2 linked regions of the Arabidopsis thaliana genome follow. The protein of the gene in region 2 interacts with the protein of the main gene of each other region in a pairwise test. Each region holds a gene or a part of one and is shown on either strand. Other genes may lie near its edges.

Region 1 (8,121 bases), 4.6 Mb from region 2:
TGGGTGATGGATAATGACTTAATGTCACAACCTTTGCTTTTGGCTGCAAATCACTTACATATCTCTTTAACTTGTGATCTTGTATCTTTTGCAATTCTTGACTTTGATGAATGAAGTTTTGTATTTTTTTTTTTTTGTTTTGTTGCTAGTTGAAGAAATATGAATACAACCTCGACACATTTTGTTCCACCGAGAAGGTTTGAAGTTTACGAGCCTCTCAACCAAATCGGTATGTGGGAAGAAAGTTTCAAGAACAATGGAGACATGTATACGCCTGGCTCTATCATAATCCCGACTAACGAAAAACCAGACAGCTTGGTACTTCAAAGTTTGCTATATATTTCAGATAAAGTGAATTCAGAAACTAATGCTTGCTTTAATCTTTGTTCAGTCAGAGGATACTTCTCATGGGACAGAAGGAACTCCTCACAAGTTTGACCAAGAGGCTTCCACATCTAGACATCCTGATAAGGTAAGTTATAATATAGCTCATTTGGTTATCTTAATTCCTTGAAGATTTTGTCATTTTAATCTTTATGTCTTCACAGATACAGAGAAGGCTAGCACAGAATCGAGAGGCAGCTAGGAAAAGTCGTTTGCGCAAGAAAGTATGAAACTTTATGTTCCTGCAACTCGTAAAACAGTTTTGTTTTCTTTAAACTGAGCTATAGAGTATTTTCTTGCAGGCTTATGTTCAGCAGCTAGAGACTAGCCGGTTAAAGCTAATTCATTTAGAGCAAGAACTCGATCGTGCTAGACAACAGGTTTGCACAAAATATTATTCTTCCTTAAGTATCTTGTTGATGTAATAATATATGATCATAATGTTGCAGGGTTTCTATGTGGGGAACGGAGTAGATACCAATGCTCTTAGTTTCTCAGATAACATGAGCTCAGGTTTGAGTCTTCTTTCACCTTTAGCGTTTAGGTAGTTTCCATTTGATTTTGAGATTCATCAGTTTTCTTTTTCTTGTTAGGGATTGTTGCATTTGAGATGGAATATGGACATTGGGTGGAAGAACAGAACAGGCAAATATGTGAACTAAGAACGGTTTTACATGGACAAGTTAGTGATATAGAGCTTCGTTCTCTAGTCGAGAATGCCATGAAACATTACTTTCAACTCTTCCGAATGAAGTCAGCCGCTGCAAAAATCGATGTTTTCTATGTCATGTCCGGAATGTGGAAAACTTCAGCAGAGCGGTTTTTCTTGTGGATAGGCGGATTTAGACCCTCAGAGCTTCTCAAGGTAATAGAAAAACCTGTCATTAATCCATAAATTGTAATGGTTTTTTTTGCAATGATTTTGGATATGGATTTTTTTTTTTGTGTTAGGTTCTGTTACCGCATTTTGATCCTTTGACGGATCAACAACTTTTGGATGTATGTAATCTGAGGCAATCATGTCAACAAGCAGAAGATGCGTTATCCCAAGGTATGGAGAAACTGCAACATACATTAGCAGAGAGTGTAGCAGCCGGGAAACTTGGTGAAGGAAGTTATATTCCTCAAATGACTTGTGCTATGGAGAGATTGGAGGCTTTGGTCAGCTTTGTAAATCAAGTAAGAAAGAAATGTTTTTACAAAAACTAACGAAGGATAACAACTAGTTTCTTGAGTTTGTTGTTGTTCTTAAACTGTTTTGTTGTTGTAGGCTGATCATCTGAGACATGAGACATTGCAACAGATGCATCGGATCTTAACCACGCGACAAGCGGCTAGAGGTTTGTTAGCATTAGGGGAGTATTTCCAAAGGCTTCGAGCTTTGAGTTCGAGTTGGGCGGCTAGGCAACGTGAACCAACGTAATTAAGGTGTTTAGATGTCAAGAAAGGTTTGAGACCTTAACAATCAAGAATGGAGTTTGCTGGTGAGTGGATTTTTGGGTCAAGAACAAGAGCAATAACACAAGCTGCTGTGTGATGATGAATCTTGTCTTGCGGCTAAAGGAAATGTTTGAGGAAAGTTGTACATATGATCAGCAACGTAAAGTTTATAGCTTTTTAGAAACCAACTTTTCGATGGTTGTTCTTTTTTTTTTGTATGTAATATTATAGATAAGCTTGTGGTATATATGATTTTAATGTGACATTACGAACTTGATTTATAACCATGGTAAAATTATTTAACAAAATATGTAATAATAGAATGGGGGAAGGGGAATAAATAAAAAGACATTAGTGAAAATTACAAAAATCAATGTGAATCATATATAGTCGAAAAGAGATAAAAAAAACAATTTATAAAAAAAAGAATCAATAAGCAAACACAAATGTTTCTGTCAGAATCAATGGGATTAGATTTTCTTCTACCTTTACAAGGAAGGGGAAAAATAATCAACAAAAAATAAATGTAAGAACACCTGAGGATCATTCTGAATCATCTGATCAAACTACTAGAGAGAAACATAAAACCAGAAAAGAAGAAGAAAAAATGGGATGATGTGTGAAAGGAAATCCATGGAGATTTACAGAAAAATTTAGAAGAGATAAAAAAACAAACAAATCTCAGGCAGAAATTGAAGTAAGATGATCAAGAACTTGTCTGATGTTAGGCCTTTCATTGACAGAGAGAATGCACCTGATTGCAACAGCAAGTGCATCCTCCATTCCCTTTGAGAACTCTTCCCCACCTGCTATGTCTCTGTCTATGCAATCCATTCTCCTTCCTTCTTGATCACACAACCTCACCCAATCGGTCAGATCAACGGCTCCTGTTTGACCTGAGATTATGTCACCTGCGCTCCGTCTAGTCAAAAGCTCCATGAGAATCACACCAAACGCATAGACATCGGATTTGAGTGTTGGTATCGGTTTGGAAGCCGAGGAAAGTTCAGGAGCAGAGTAACCGAGTGCACTCATGTTTAGTATCTGTTCCGCTACACCAGATGGAGTCATCAAACGGTGAACACAGTAATCAGTTATTCGCACGGTATTGTCAGGACTTGAGAGGATTATGTTAGTTGGCTTCAAGTTCCCGTGTGGCATTGCTCTATCATGAAGGTAGAGAAGACACTGAGCCACTTCAACTGCAACTTTTAGTCTTTGGCTGAAGGACATTGGAGAATACCTCCGAGGAGTAGTCTCTGCACAGAAAATTTGGCAGGGTGATTAACTTTTTTTCAAACAAGATACAGAAAGGCTTGTAGTTATAGGACTAAAAAGACTAATTAAAAGATCTTCTAACCGTAAAGATGCATGGCTAAGCTCTCTCCTCTCAGGTAATCAGACAGGAGAAGTCTTTCTTGTTCTCTGGGACCCCAATAGTATGCTCGCAACGGAACAATGTTAGGATGTTTTAAAGAGCCGATTTTTTTGGCTTCCCGTGCGAAATCTTTCTTATGCCTCACGAGGCCAACTCTCAACCATTTCACCGTCAACATGTGTCCATTATCCAGTGTTGCTTTGTACAGTGTTCCATGGCTGCTTCTACCTAGAACTTCTGCAGGAGCTCGGGATAACTCTTCTGCTGTGAGTTTTAGTGAAACGTCTAAGAAGAAGAGTTCTCCGGCCAATCTATCAGGTGAGTAAACATCTAACATCACAGGCTGGTCGCTAAAACGGGGTGAGGAGGATAGTGGGGAGCCTCCTGAAGAAGACTTGCGCCCAGATGCTGCAGGATAATCATCAAGGAGGTTTGTAGGAGCAGAAGTAGCAGGCGCACCCTGCTCGGATATTTCAGCTTCACATCCGGGTATCCCAGATAACGACCTTGAATTTGCGGTGAGCAAGTGATCGTTTGAGAAGCTCAAAGATGATGACTGCTGCTCAACATTTGAGCTGAAGTTGAATAAGGAGGGACGAGAAGAGCGTCCAAACTTGGTGTCTCTAGTCGTTGCTTGGTCTGTAAATCTATTCCTCCCGTGAAAGTCCTTGAGCTGTGTTCGATGATAGGCAAACAAGACAAAAAGAATCATAATAGCAGCTCCAACTGAAGCAACAATAATCGCTATTCTTATGCTAAGCTTCGAATGATGTTTTTTCCCAGGTAAAGACAGATCACCAGAAGAATCCGCTGGAATCCGTCCTGGGAGACTTAGCTTGGAGTTACCAGGATAAAATGAAGAAGGCGGGTAGCTTCTAAGGTCTTCCGGAATTATGCCTGATAGGTCGTTATACGACACATTGAATCCCACCATTTGGGAAGGAAGCTTATTGGGAATTTGACCCTTGAAAGTATTGTTTGACAAGTCAAGGAACAAAAGGCCACTAAGCTTGTTGAGGTCGCTTGGAAGTTCCCCGGACAGCTTATTATTGGCAAGATTCAGCACTTTAATTTTTTCCATTGTACCTATATCCCCAGGCAGCATACCCGTCAAAGAATTGGTTGAAAGGTCAAGTAACTCCATCTGCGGATAAGAATTTAGAACCAAAAGTTCGCTTGCACGTGAACCTCGAAAAGGAATTGGCCCCTCCAAGTTATTCCTAGAAAGATTCAAACTTCTCAAGCTTGCAAAAGTGAAGAAACTCACTGGAATGAAGCCACTGAACTTATTTGAACTGAGATCAATCACAGAGAATTGAGAATCACCCCACAGAGAAGGCAAGCTACCAGAGACAGAATTATTCCTAATGCTCAACACACTTAATCTTGAAAATGCAGAAGTAAAGTTCGGCAAGCTTCCCGACAAGTTGTTTGAGCTAAGATCAAGAACATCTGGAGTAGCTTCCCACTTTTGAACAACAGACACGTCGCCAGAGAAAGTATTCCCACTCAAATCTATCACTGAGCAACTTTTAAAACTCGACGGAAGATCCCCAGACAGGCCGTTAGAAGAAAGATTCAACATAGTTAACGTTGATGAATTGATTTCACTAATTGATCCTGCATTTGAACCAAAAGAAACTCCTTTAATATACATTTATACAACAGCTTCAGACAATGTGACACAAGTGTCTAGTCAAGACCATGAAACCAGTCAAATCAATGCTCAATGACATAAAGTTCAATAATTCTATTCCTGTATACCCTAAAAGTAGCAAGAAGAGAAAAGTTGTAAGATTTGAATTAACCTGTAAAACCGTTTCGACTTAGATCTAGCTCTAGCAAAGGAATCGAACTCTGCAACAACTCTTGAGGTACTAAACCGAACAACTCGTTACGAGCAAGCTTCAATATTCTCAAACTCGGCTGTGATCCAAAATGCGGTAACTCACCATTGATCTGGTTATTCTCTAAGTCAACAATCTCGAGATTCTTGAACGAACCAATGGACTCCTCACTGAAAAACTTGCCATTTAACGCATTGTGGCTCAAATTCAAGTGACGGAGAGTGTTGGAAATGCTGGAAATGTTCTCCATTGGTAAAGATAAGCCACCGTTGAAACGGTTACAGCTCAAATCAACGAACTCAACATTCTTAAGCTCAGTGAAAATCTCACCAACATCTCCCCAAATCTCGTTCTTATGCAAATCCAAAGATCTTAGCTGCTGAAGATTCCGAAAGCCACTAGGAAACCCACCTTCGAACTTGTTGGAAGACAAATTGAGATGATTCAAACTCCAAAGCTCCGAGATCCGACCCGGTATAGGTCCGTAGAAACCGTTATCCGACAGATCTAAGTGTTGAAGCGACGAGATTCCACCCAATGAAGGAACGACCCGACCCGAGAAGCTGTTTCCGGATAAAGAGAGGTTACGAAGACGAGTAAGACCAGAGAGAGTGCTGAATTTGAGTTCGCCGGAGAGACCACGACGGTCGAGATTAATGGCGATGATTGAACCGGTTTCAGGGTCGCAAGAGATACCAGGCCAGTCATTAGGGCAAGTAGATGGATCAGTGAGGCTGCTTGTATCTGACCATGAGATTCGTTGGTGTGAGGTCTCGTCACGGATCCCTTTACGGAACTCGAGTAGAGATCGGAGCTCCGTCTCGGTGACGGCGTTGGCACCGTGGAGGAGGAGAAGGAGTGAGAGGAAGCAGAAAGTGAGAAAATGACTCATTTAGCCCTGAAGAATCTATCTACTCCACAGAAGCAAATGCAGAGTGAGAAACACAGAAAGAATAAACCCTAGTAAGGATTCATAGCTGAGACTTGAGAGAAGAGAGAAACAGAGAGACGGAGATTTAGGGATTGTACTCGGAATCTGAAAAAAATTGAAAGAGGGGAAGAAGAAGAAGAGAGAGAGAAGAGTGTGTTTTTGAGGTTTTCCAAAAAAAAATCGAATTTTTATATTAGTTTTCTTATACTTCTTTATGGTATGACATTTTTTTCTATGCAATCAGAGATTAATACTAGTTTCCAATTTAAAGTTCAGATATTTTAAAAACTTTTATCATTTTAGGAATTATGAGTTTTCTCTTTACCTACTTTTACTCTAGTTAATGGAATCAATTTTTTGTTAATGGAATCTATAATTACTGATTAGTGATTACTCTCTCTAGTTCTTTTTTCTTTTTTGGTAACCTGACTACCAGTTTTTTTTTCTCTCATGTTAAAAAAACTTATGTTTTTACATAGACCATAGTGTGATCTCTTTTGAATATTCTCTGACATTCAAATAAGTAACCAAACCACATAAAATGGACTCAAAAAGGTGTTTTGGGGAAACCATCTTAGAAGACCAGTGACTATTGTTCAAAGGTTTTACTTAAAATCAATCATACCGTGAAAAAAAGACTACTTTAAATGAAAAAGAGTTGTTAGATGTGTCATTACATTTTGTTACACTAATTGCGTCAAGTCATTATCACTTATCAGCATTTATCATCTTTGTTATTACATATACTAGTTTAGGAAACATAATTAACTTGACGTAGTTAATGATACCAAAACCGGTAGATTCAAAACCAGGATATGAGTACAAGTACCAACCCAAAATATTTGTTTAAAAGGATATAACAATAAATATTATTTTTTTAAAAGGTGAAAAGAGAGGAAGAGAAGTGGTGGAATAATATATGATTAGTTTGCACTTTGCAGATAAGTAAAAAAACAGACTGGAAAGGACAATGGCATGTCTTTGAGTCGCTGTGTCTTTTCTTTTTTTTTCTCTTTTCTGAAGATGAAGAAAATTCGCACCCAAACCCTTTTTCTCACATGCAACACAACGTGACGGGGATATTGTAAGTAACGCCGTTAAGTTCTTTGTCCGTACACTGTACTACTCCTTAAACGGGAACGGAGATACTAAATAAGAGAAGAACGTGGTCTGTCATACTCAATTACTACTACTCTTCCGGACCAACCTGTCTATTTTTTTTCCCCTAATCACATACATTATTCTGTGTAAATTAGCTAAATATGACCATAATTTGCTATTTTAATTTAAATAATTAGTTGACAAAACATAAATTATTGACATTTCATGCAAAAATAAATAAATAACTTGACTACCCTAAGGTTAATAAGCTTTTTGAAGATTTATGGCACTGTTTGACTGATTGATTTATACATTCCCACTTGGAATATATATCTCCTTGTCGCGAATTTTAATGATAATACAAATATATATATAAACATTATAACTCTTGAGTAGTCTATTTATTTGCTCCTTTTAGAATGTCATTTTCTCTAACCATAAAATGAAAGATGCCAAACTTATTATATTTTGTCTATGTCTGTCCATCTCTCTTTCATATAATATATTATTGGGTCCAACTAAATAATACCATTTTGTTATTGTCGAAACTTTGACAACTAGTTGGAAAACCCCCACTAAAATACTCTTACTTTTCTTATAATTAGCATAATCGTCTAGAGTCTAAAGTAATGTGAGAAATGCCATTGCAATTTAAGAAAAACTTAAAGCATAGAGAGATAAAAAGCTGTCTCGATTTTCCGCAAAAAGAATTGGGTTCCCGTGACTCTTCTAAGATCTCAAGTACTCCCGAGGAGAATACAAACTCATAAAAGTAAAAGACATTTTGTCCTACAAACTTGGCTTAATAACTATAAAAGCTCAAAGAGTTTCTGAGAGCACCTGTGATTAAAAATAACTTTGATTTCTGCTGAAGCTTCCAAGAAAAGCTTTCTGGCTTCTCAAACATCTGATCATCTGATCTCAAAGGACTTCATGAGCCTTTCCATAGTATCGGTTAATGAATGGGGACTGCAAAAACAGAAGAAGCGAAAACCAGATCATTCACATACTCAGAGCTTTGTAACAAACTATAATCAAAA
Region 2 (7,742 bases):
ATCACATAACAACCGTTCAGAATTTGGCCACAACTTGAACTAAATTCAACAGGCAAAAAGCAATCAGCTCTTTACTAAAACCGTCGCATCACACTCTAGTATAACTTAACAGCAAAGCTTACACCTTCATGTTCCATCCATCAAAGAATCATGAGAAAGTTACCTGAGTAAAAATGGCTTTTGCTTTTGATATTTTAAGCCGTGTTGATATTTCACGGGGAGAGAAACTATCAGCTATTGAAACAACTACGTGGCCAGCTAAAACAATAGCAAGGTATATGATCACAGACTCAACATTCATTGGCATATCAACCGCGATTGCTGACTCTTCCTCCAAACCCAAAGCACTAAGAGCATGTGCAGCTAACCTACACAATAGATAACAATAGTCAGTAAAGGAAACAACTTTAAAGCGTTATTCACCAAAGAAAGGCCACAAGGATGGGAATTTCATACCAGACCTGCGATCTTAACTCCAAAAGTGTCATGGTATTCACAGGAAGATCATCGCTTCCTTCATCACGCCATCGAATCACAATATCATCCAATCTTCTCTTGAAACCATTAGTCAAACAATTTCTTGCAGGATTCAAGTAAGCTCCAGGAAGCCATTTACCTCCAGGATTATCTCCAGAAGTATCCTTCTCTAATATACACTTAGGAGGTACAGAGAACAATATGTTTAACTCATCCAATACAGTTTTCCAATACACCTGATCAAGATAATCACCATAGAATTACAAAACACATAATCACGAAAACTTAAGGCATAACAATAATAATAACACCAATGTTAGTTACCTCAGGATTTGATACAGAGAACTCTTGAAAACTGGAGAAACTCGAAACTGGATTCTTGTAATTTCCACCTAAAAACTCTTTGCCTCGCTTTTCTAATAACTTGCCTACGTTAGTTAAAGAAGCAACCTTCCTATAATATACAACAAAGCCAAAATCATAAGAATCTGAAACAAACGGAGAAAAATCAATTTATGGTAAACAAACAATTCGTACGGGTCGGGTATCCAAGCGGGTAGGTCGGGTCCGAAATCCTTGTAGCAACCGTAATACATCATCTGGTGAAAAGAGAAAGGGAGATTAGGGTGAAGGATCCGCCGAGAAATCTGAATCCACGTCTCCGGCGGCGTGGATGAACCGTGAATAATGTCTTCGAGATCTCTGAGAAGCTTCTCGGAGACATCACCGGAGATTCCTAGAGCTTCGATATCAGATTTGGTGATTGAATTTAGGGATTTGTACGCCATTTTTTTGAGAGAGCTAAGAAATCATGAATGATTCAAAAAATGATGAGAGTGGCAGAGAGAAGAGTGGCAAAATTGTCCACGTAATATAAAGAGAGCTCGTGATCGCCACGTGTCAATCTGATTCTGATATTTGATAGCTTTTTTTCGCTCTTTACACGTCTGATTGGATTATCTTCTTCTTCTTGGTGATAGGAGTTACTTTTTTTTTATCTTCATGTTATATTATGATATGAATCTTTTTATTGATATCAGTCTATATACATTGTATGAGATATGAACTTGTATTCTTAATCTATGAATCATTTCAGAATCTAGGCTCCATATTATATACATTGTCGATATGTTACTATGACCAATTTTTTACCTTAAGTTTAGTTGGGTATTTTTTTTTTTGGGACAAACTAAGTTTAGTTATTTATATGTTAGGAATCATAATGAAAGTGAAAGAAAAAAAATGTTGATTGATTGATATATTGAGGAAAAGAAGATAACACTTTACATTTGGTTACTTTATATGATTTTATGTATCTTGAAATTGGTCTCAGTCTATATACATTATGTAGTGGTACTGATCTCTTACACCTTTTTTTTTTGCTTTCTCTTTTCGACTTTTGATCATCATCTTATTTGGTTTATGTCTTTTATTTATTGATTTCAGTCTATATACACTATCAATTTAGATTGTATGGATCAGTAGAGCAATATATGTTAGTCTATATAAATTTTATTTAATTTGGTGTAGAATCCGTTAGCAAAATAGACAATTTTGTTACAATTCGGAGTGACCGGTGTTACAATTAATATTAATTAGACAACATTTTGATTAAAAATAGTTTGTATATACTTCAACTATTGCACAATATTTATAATAGTTTTCAAAATTTATATCTTGGTTTTCACATGATTGAAAGCACTAAACTAAACTCCACAAAAAAAAAAACTTGTCTAATTTTTATTATCTTCAACCATTTGTAAAATGGATTTTCGGCAAAAAGCTATTGGCAATCCCACTAAGTGATAAGGCTAGGCCACACACACACACCTACCAGATGGTCCAAAATGATTGTGCATCTATGTGATATTACAATTAGTTGTCCATAACTCATTATGAATTTAGTCTTTATCCCAATTTTTTCCTACCACTATAGGCCAAACTCATCCCGGTTTTTGATCATACATTTTTTCTTTTAGATGATTAGCTACTACTTCAGTTTGATGTAATCTTTTCCATATATGATCATCAATGTAAAAGACAAGTAAGTAAGTAATTCGAAAATCTTATCTTATCAAAAGATCTCTCAAAGTTGAGAAATAAAGGAATACTAAACAACACTTGTAAAACTATATATATCCTCTGTTTTCAGTCGGAGCTAGGAAGGAACTTGGTTCCGGACCTAGTGCCAAAGCTTCTCGAAGCTGCCGGGATAATCCGCGATGGAGACAAGACTTGTGCAAACGAGAAGTTGTAAGAATCAGTGCCTAAACGGCTCTGCAACCATCCTCTGCCACCAGAGAATCCATCTGTCACAATATAGCAATTCTTGTACCCGAGAACCTTTAACGTTTTCGCCACTATCTTAGCCGAATCCGTGTACCTACGAGCCAAAAAGACCAATAAAGATTAAGCAAGATTCACAAAAAAGGTCTTGTAAAAGAGTAATAATCAAAACTCACGAGTCCAAGATGATGATATTGGAGCCTTTGTTGATTTTCTTGAGGTAAGAAATCTTTAATGCTGCTATCTCTGCTTCAACTCGTTTAGAGTTCCTCACGATTCCTTTTACTTTGTTTGGTAGTTCTTCTAATCTGATAATCACAAGAACAGGTTCAATGTTTTGAGTATAATAATAATGAAAAGAATTATCAAAGTTAGATAGACACATACGGAATGGAGATCACGCGGTTCTTAGCATTCGAAGGGAGCCGTGGAATCCCGGCTTTCTCCTTGTCTTTCTCTGATCTTATATCCACCATCAAGTAGTTCTTGGTGCAAAGAAGGTCAAGCGTTTGAGCCGGCGTAAGATCACCTTTATTAAAAAAACACAAACCAGAAACACAGAGTAATTGTCAGCATTTTGCTATGGTGAATTAGACTCTAGATACAAAATAGATCACTAATAACCAAATCAAAAACTTATATATGTTCTCAAGATGATCTATATGGAGTCTTGAGGTACCTTTGTAACCACGGAAGTTAAAAGAGATGGCAGAGAAAACAGGAGGGAGAAGAAGGTAAGCAAGAAACGCAGCACCAGCAGCAACAACAATGACACTAGGGTCAGCTGAAGAAATCGTATCCATGGTCGATGAAGCAATCGGTTTAGCATCTTCTATCGCTTTTGACGTCTGTTGTGCTACATCTGTTACTGTCTACATCCCAACCAAAACACAGACAAACCACTTCAAACCCTAAACCCCAAAACCTAAATTGTTATGTTCTCATACATATTTGAATGTAAGAAATCTGACCTTTGCAGCATTAAAGACAGGCTCAGAATCAAAACCAGAGCTCTGCATTGCTTCTTGAGCTTTCTTTGAAGCTTCAGAGAAAGCAGGAGAAGCAAGCTTCATAGCTTCTTCACCAGCTTGCTTTGCAATGGGTAAAGCAGTGTCCAAAGCTGGTTTAAGAGCATCTCCTACTACTTGGAACACACGCTGCGTTGCATCAAATACACTAGAACCAGTTTCTTGAACTTGGTTGATTGTTTTCTCCACCTGTTAAGACACAAGAACACTCATCAACAAAAAGGAGACATTTTGGTCATTTCAAGAAGTAAAGTGAGATTATTATATATACTTCAGTGAGAGAGGAGACGATTTGGTCCTTGGGAATGGAAACAGCAGCTTTAGCTTCATGAGGAGGAGATGCAAAGAGAGATAACAGAGAGATTGAAGTTGATGTTGGAAGTGAAACAGAGACTTGTCTCAGACTCAGTGTCTTCTTAGTAGAAGAAGAAGGAAGAGTGAGTTTTGCAGATAGTGAAGACTTCGTTGCCATTTCCGCCATAGCCATGGTTTCTCTCTGCCACACTTTTTTACAAATCAATGCGACAGAGAAAGAGACAAAGAATCTTTAGAGCTTCTCTTCAATGTTGTCTGCAAACTGTTTCTTCAAGTACCTTTTTCTAAAGATTATAAATAAATTGAGTTTTCTGGTTAAGATTGAAGGAAGGGGATTTGAAAGATGGATTCTTATTGGTCAGACTAATCCTACGTGGCATTTTTGTGTTAAAGCTTAGCCGTTCGTTGCCAATCCAATACTTTGATATATGTCGTACAAGAATTTCATTGTAGCAGTAATATCAGAGGTGTACTACAGAATAAGAGCAACAAAAAATGAATACTGTACATTGAAACATGCTTATGGTTGTACACGAAGTAGCTATCTGTTTTAGCCGCCTCTTCTAACAATGAGTTCCATCAGTTCGATTGGTAATCAAAGAAGCGGTTCAACCTCCGCTCCAAGCGCCTCAAATTGTGTTACCAATCAAAGCCAATAAACATCATCTTGTATGAACCAAGACCGAAAACTGCTATTAAACTTCATTCCGTACAAAACCAAGTATCTTAAATTGGACTGATGTTGGTTTAGGTTCCGTTCTTGTGGTTCCTGTTTACTCTCCTAAAAATTTGAACAGATTTGAGCATGCTGATCAAGTGAAGTAAACTACCTACACTTGGTCAACCGTCTACTAGTAAAATTATAGACTCACTTTATTAACTTTCCCATGATTGAAGGAAGACGAGCAAACACACATGATCACTAGTTCCATAGCATTTACAAGTATATAATTCCACAAAATGTATAGTAGTACCATTACTAGACCTTAAAACAAGCAAGCTCACCATTTAAACTATGCTATTAAGTTCATGTTTGTTAAAGCATCAGCCTAGAGAGTGGTATCATATTATTAGTAGTGCTACCATCATCACAAATTCTATATAAGAACATTGTAGAGAAACAGTATTTTCTCATATTTTAACAGCCCCTCTTGTGTGAGGAATATAAGAAAGATAACAAGTCTTGATCTTGAAAAAGAACAAGATTCTCCTTTTCTTACCTAATTTGAAAATGGAATCATGATACCATTTGAAGTTTTGCTCCAAGGAATTTTAAAACCCACGAGCTAAGGAATCCTTTCACTTCACAAGATTCCCTCACCTTTTCTCTGTGCTGCCAAAGGTGAGGGAAAAAAAGAGAGGACACAGGAAGACCAATGACTTATAACAAAAGTGTCTTTTACAACAAGAAAGTTTAAGGAGTGAATTTGATTCTTCTTGAACAGCCAGTTTCATAAATAGTAATACGAAAAGAACAAGAAGTATAGCATGGCTCTCTAGAAGGTTATTAATCAGTGAATATCACCACTTGGATCCTGATTAAAGGGTTATCATCACGCACTCATTGCGCAATGTATCAAAGTTTTTGATTGTATTATACTATTCTACGTGGATTCCTTATCACTTGCCAAGAATGAACATAGTAATGCAAAAGCAAAGGTTTTAGAATTATGCAATGTCTATGTAGGTAATACTTAAAAGAGCCAGAGAAGTAAGCAAAAGCACACATTGCATCAAGAAACCAAGAGATCACAGCAAATTTCATATCAGGAACTCATAACAACATAGCCATGCTCAGGAACAAAATTAGCGTTGAGGGTCTGTAGTGACAAAAGACATAGCCAGGAAAAAAACCGATCTACTAATCTGCAAAGCTGAAGAAGTACAAGTTGGATTCAGTGGCTCAACAAACAAAAACAAAAATGCTAGATGAAGAAAGACCATATGGAACACAAACCTTGATACATACATGTAAACCAAAAGTAAAACTGCATCATCAGAATTCAGGACCATTGTTAAAAAACAGATCAATAAAAAAAAAAAGTTAAGACAAAACTGAAGTTGTAAGATTTAAGAATATGAGTCAATTATGAAGACATGACTACAAACAAAAACACATATGATAATTGATCTGTTACCCAAAACAATAACAAACAAACAATTTCATTTTATCCTTTTTTCATATACAAGAATTTTGTTTTCCCTCACTATCTCAACAGCTAAAAGATGAATACTTTGAATTAGATTTGGGATAAATTTTAAATATTTAGTTTCAGCAGCTGAGAAGACTTTATCGAATCCATTGTCCTGCTTCTCAGCAATACTCAAATAGATATCAATTAAACAAAAGTCATGAAGAGCAAGCAGCGCTGGATGCAGAGGTTTATCGATCGATTCTTGCTTTTGTAAACAAAAATAAATATTCACAGGAATTGATCGATGAACCGCTGCCTCCAGCGACTTCACTCTTTCCTCATTCATAAATCATAAATAAATAAACAAAAATAATTGACAGATCTGAGAAAATCGGTTGATGAACAAACACAAATCATTATTAATCTCAAAAAGATTAAAAGAAACATTTAGATAAATTTACAGAGAGAGGTGGATAGATGCAGAGTTATAAAACTAGGAGCTGCTCATATATATAGAGAGAATGCATGTGAGAAATAAGTGGAAGGAGAGGAGATTTTTCAATTGGAATCAATGAAATTTGAAAAAGAGGAATCTGATGACTCACCGTTTTACCGTACATTACATAATTTTCTCTCATCCTCGTCTTTTGTACTTTTTGGTCAATAAAAAATCCAACTCTATGATTGACAGTCTAATGATTCTCACTCTAGTTTTTCTCTTCTTTTCTACTTCTTTTCATTTTTATATAATTTTCACTTCTTTTTGTTAAAATTTATCAAATATCACCAAAATTTATCAACTCTATAATTTTCACTTTTTTTGTTAAAATTTATCAAATATCACCAAAATTTACCTACGCATTACAAAAGATAAACAATAGACTTTACCAAAACCTAACTCTTTAACCATAAGCTAAAAACAAAAAAAAACAAAAAAAAAAACAAGACTTTTTGTCAAATAAATAACAATAAATCATATATATCTTTTTCCTTCTAAAAATCATTCTATTATATGGAAGTTAGAATTAATGTTAAAGTTATACAAGACTATACCACAAAAATTATTACATAAACAGATATGTGAGTCATTTTCTAAAAAAAGTACGAAGAAACAAGATTTAACAGTAAATTATATATTAGTGCAATTTTCATCACTAAAGAAAAAAATAAGTTAAATATTACGGTAAAAGTATTCATAACAATAAAAATAAGAATCATCGAACAAAACATCAAAAAAAAATTATAATAACAAGATTACTCATCACATTGAAGCACCAAAAAAAACAGCTTGAATGATTTAATCTCATCACATTCAAGATAGTGAGATTAATGTTCTCATCGAAACACTATAAAAAAAAAAATTATAATAAAAATTTCGATCTAATACTATTTCTTTGTCATGAAACTAGCTTGAATTGATAATCAAAATATTTATTTTTAAAATAATATGTAAAGAAATCTGTTCAAAAATCACTCCAAAACTAGCTACCCATTAATACAA

The links. Proteins that work in one complex are often made in the same cells at the same time.
Region 1: the proteins of CaS (region 2) and AT5G10020 interact in a protein complementation assay, tested with the Arabidopsis thaliana proteins (one large-scale study listed by BioGRID).

The regions. Positions count from the first base shown.
Region 1 is NC_003076.8:3,131,334-3,139,454, reverse strand, and holds AT5G10020 (Leucine-rich receptor-like protein kinase family protein), read right to left. Parts: upstream 6,212-8,121; 5' UTR 5,942-6,211; coding exon 5,011-5,941; intron 4,823-5,010; coding exon 3,185-4,822; intron 3,084-3,184; coding exon 2,506-3,083; 3' UTR 2,213-2,505; downstream 1-2,212. Other genes in the region: TGA4 (TGACG motif-binding factor 4), read left to right, coding at 160-318, 392-472, 549-608, 687-764, 834-897, 978-1,249, 1,336-1,563, 1,655-1,807; AT5G10010 (myosin-H heavy protein), read right to left, coding at 8,003-8,050.
Region 2 is NC_003076.8:7,734,135-7,741,876, forward strand, and holds CaS (calcium sensing receptor), read right to left. Parts: upstream 4,402-7,742; 5' UTR 4,279-4,401; coding exon 4,063-4,278; intron 3,981-4,062; coding exon 3,735-3,980; intron 3,636-3,734; coding exon 3,443-3,635; intron 3,293-3,442; coding exon 3,151-3,292; intron 3,072-3,150; coding exon 2,940-3,071; coding exon of another isoform or gene 2,936-2,939; exon of another isoform or gene 2,861-2,935; coding exon 2,626-2,860; 3' UTR 2,384-2,625; downstream 1-2,383. Other genes in the region: AAE17 (acyl-activating enzyme 17), read right to left, coding at 164-368, 457-713, 802-931, 1,015-1,265. UniProt on the Arabidopsis thaliana protein: Modulates cytoplasmic Ca(2+) concentration and is crucial for proper stomatal regulation in response to elevated levels of external Ca(2+).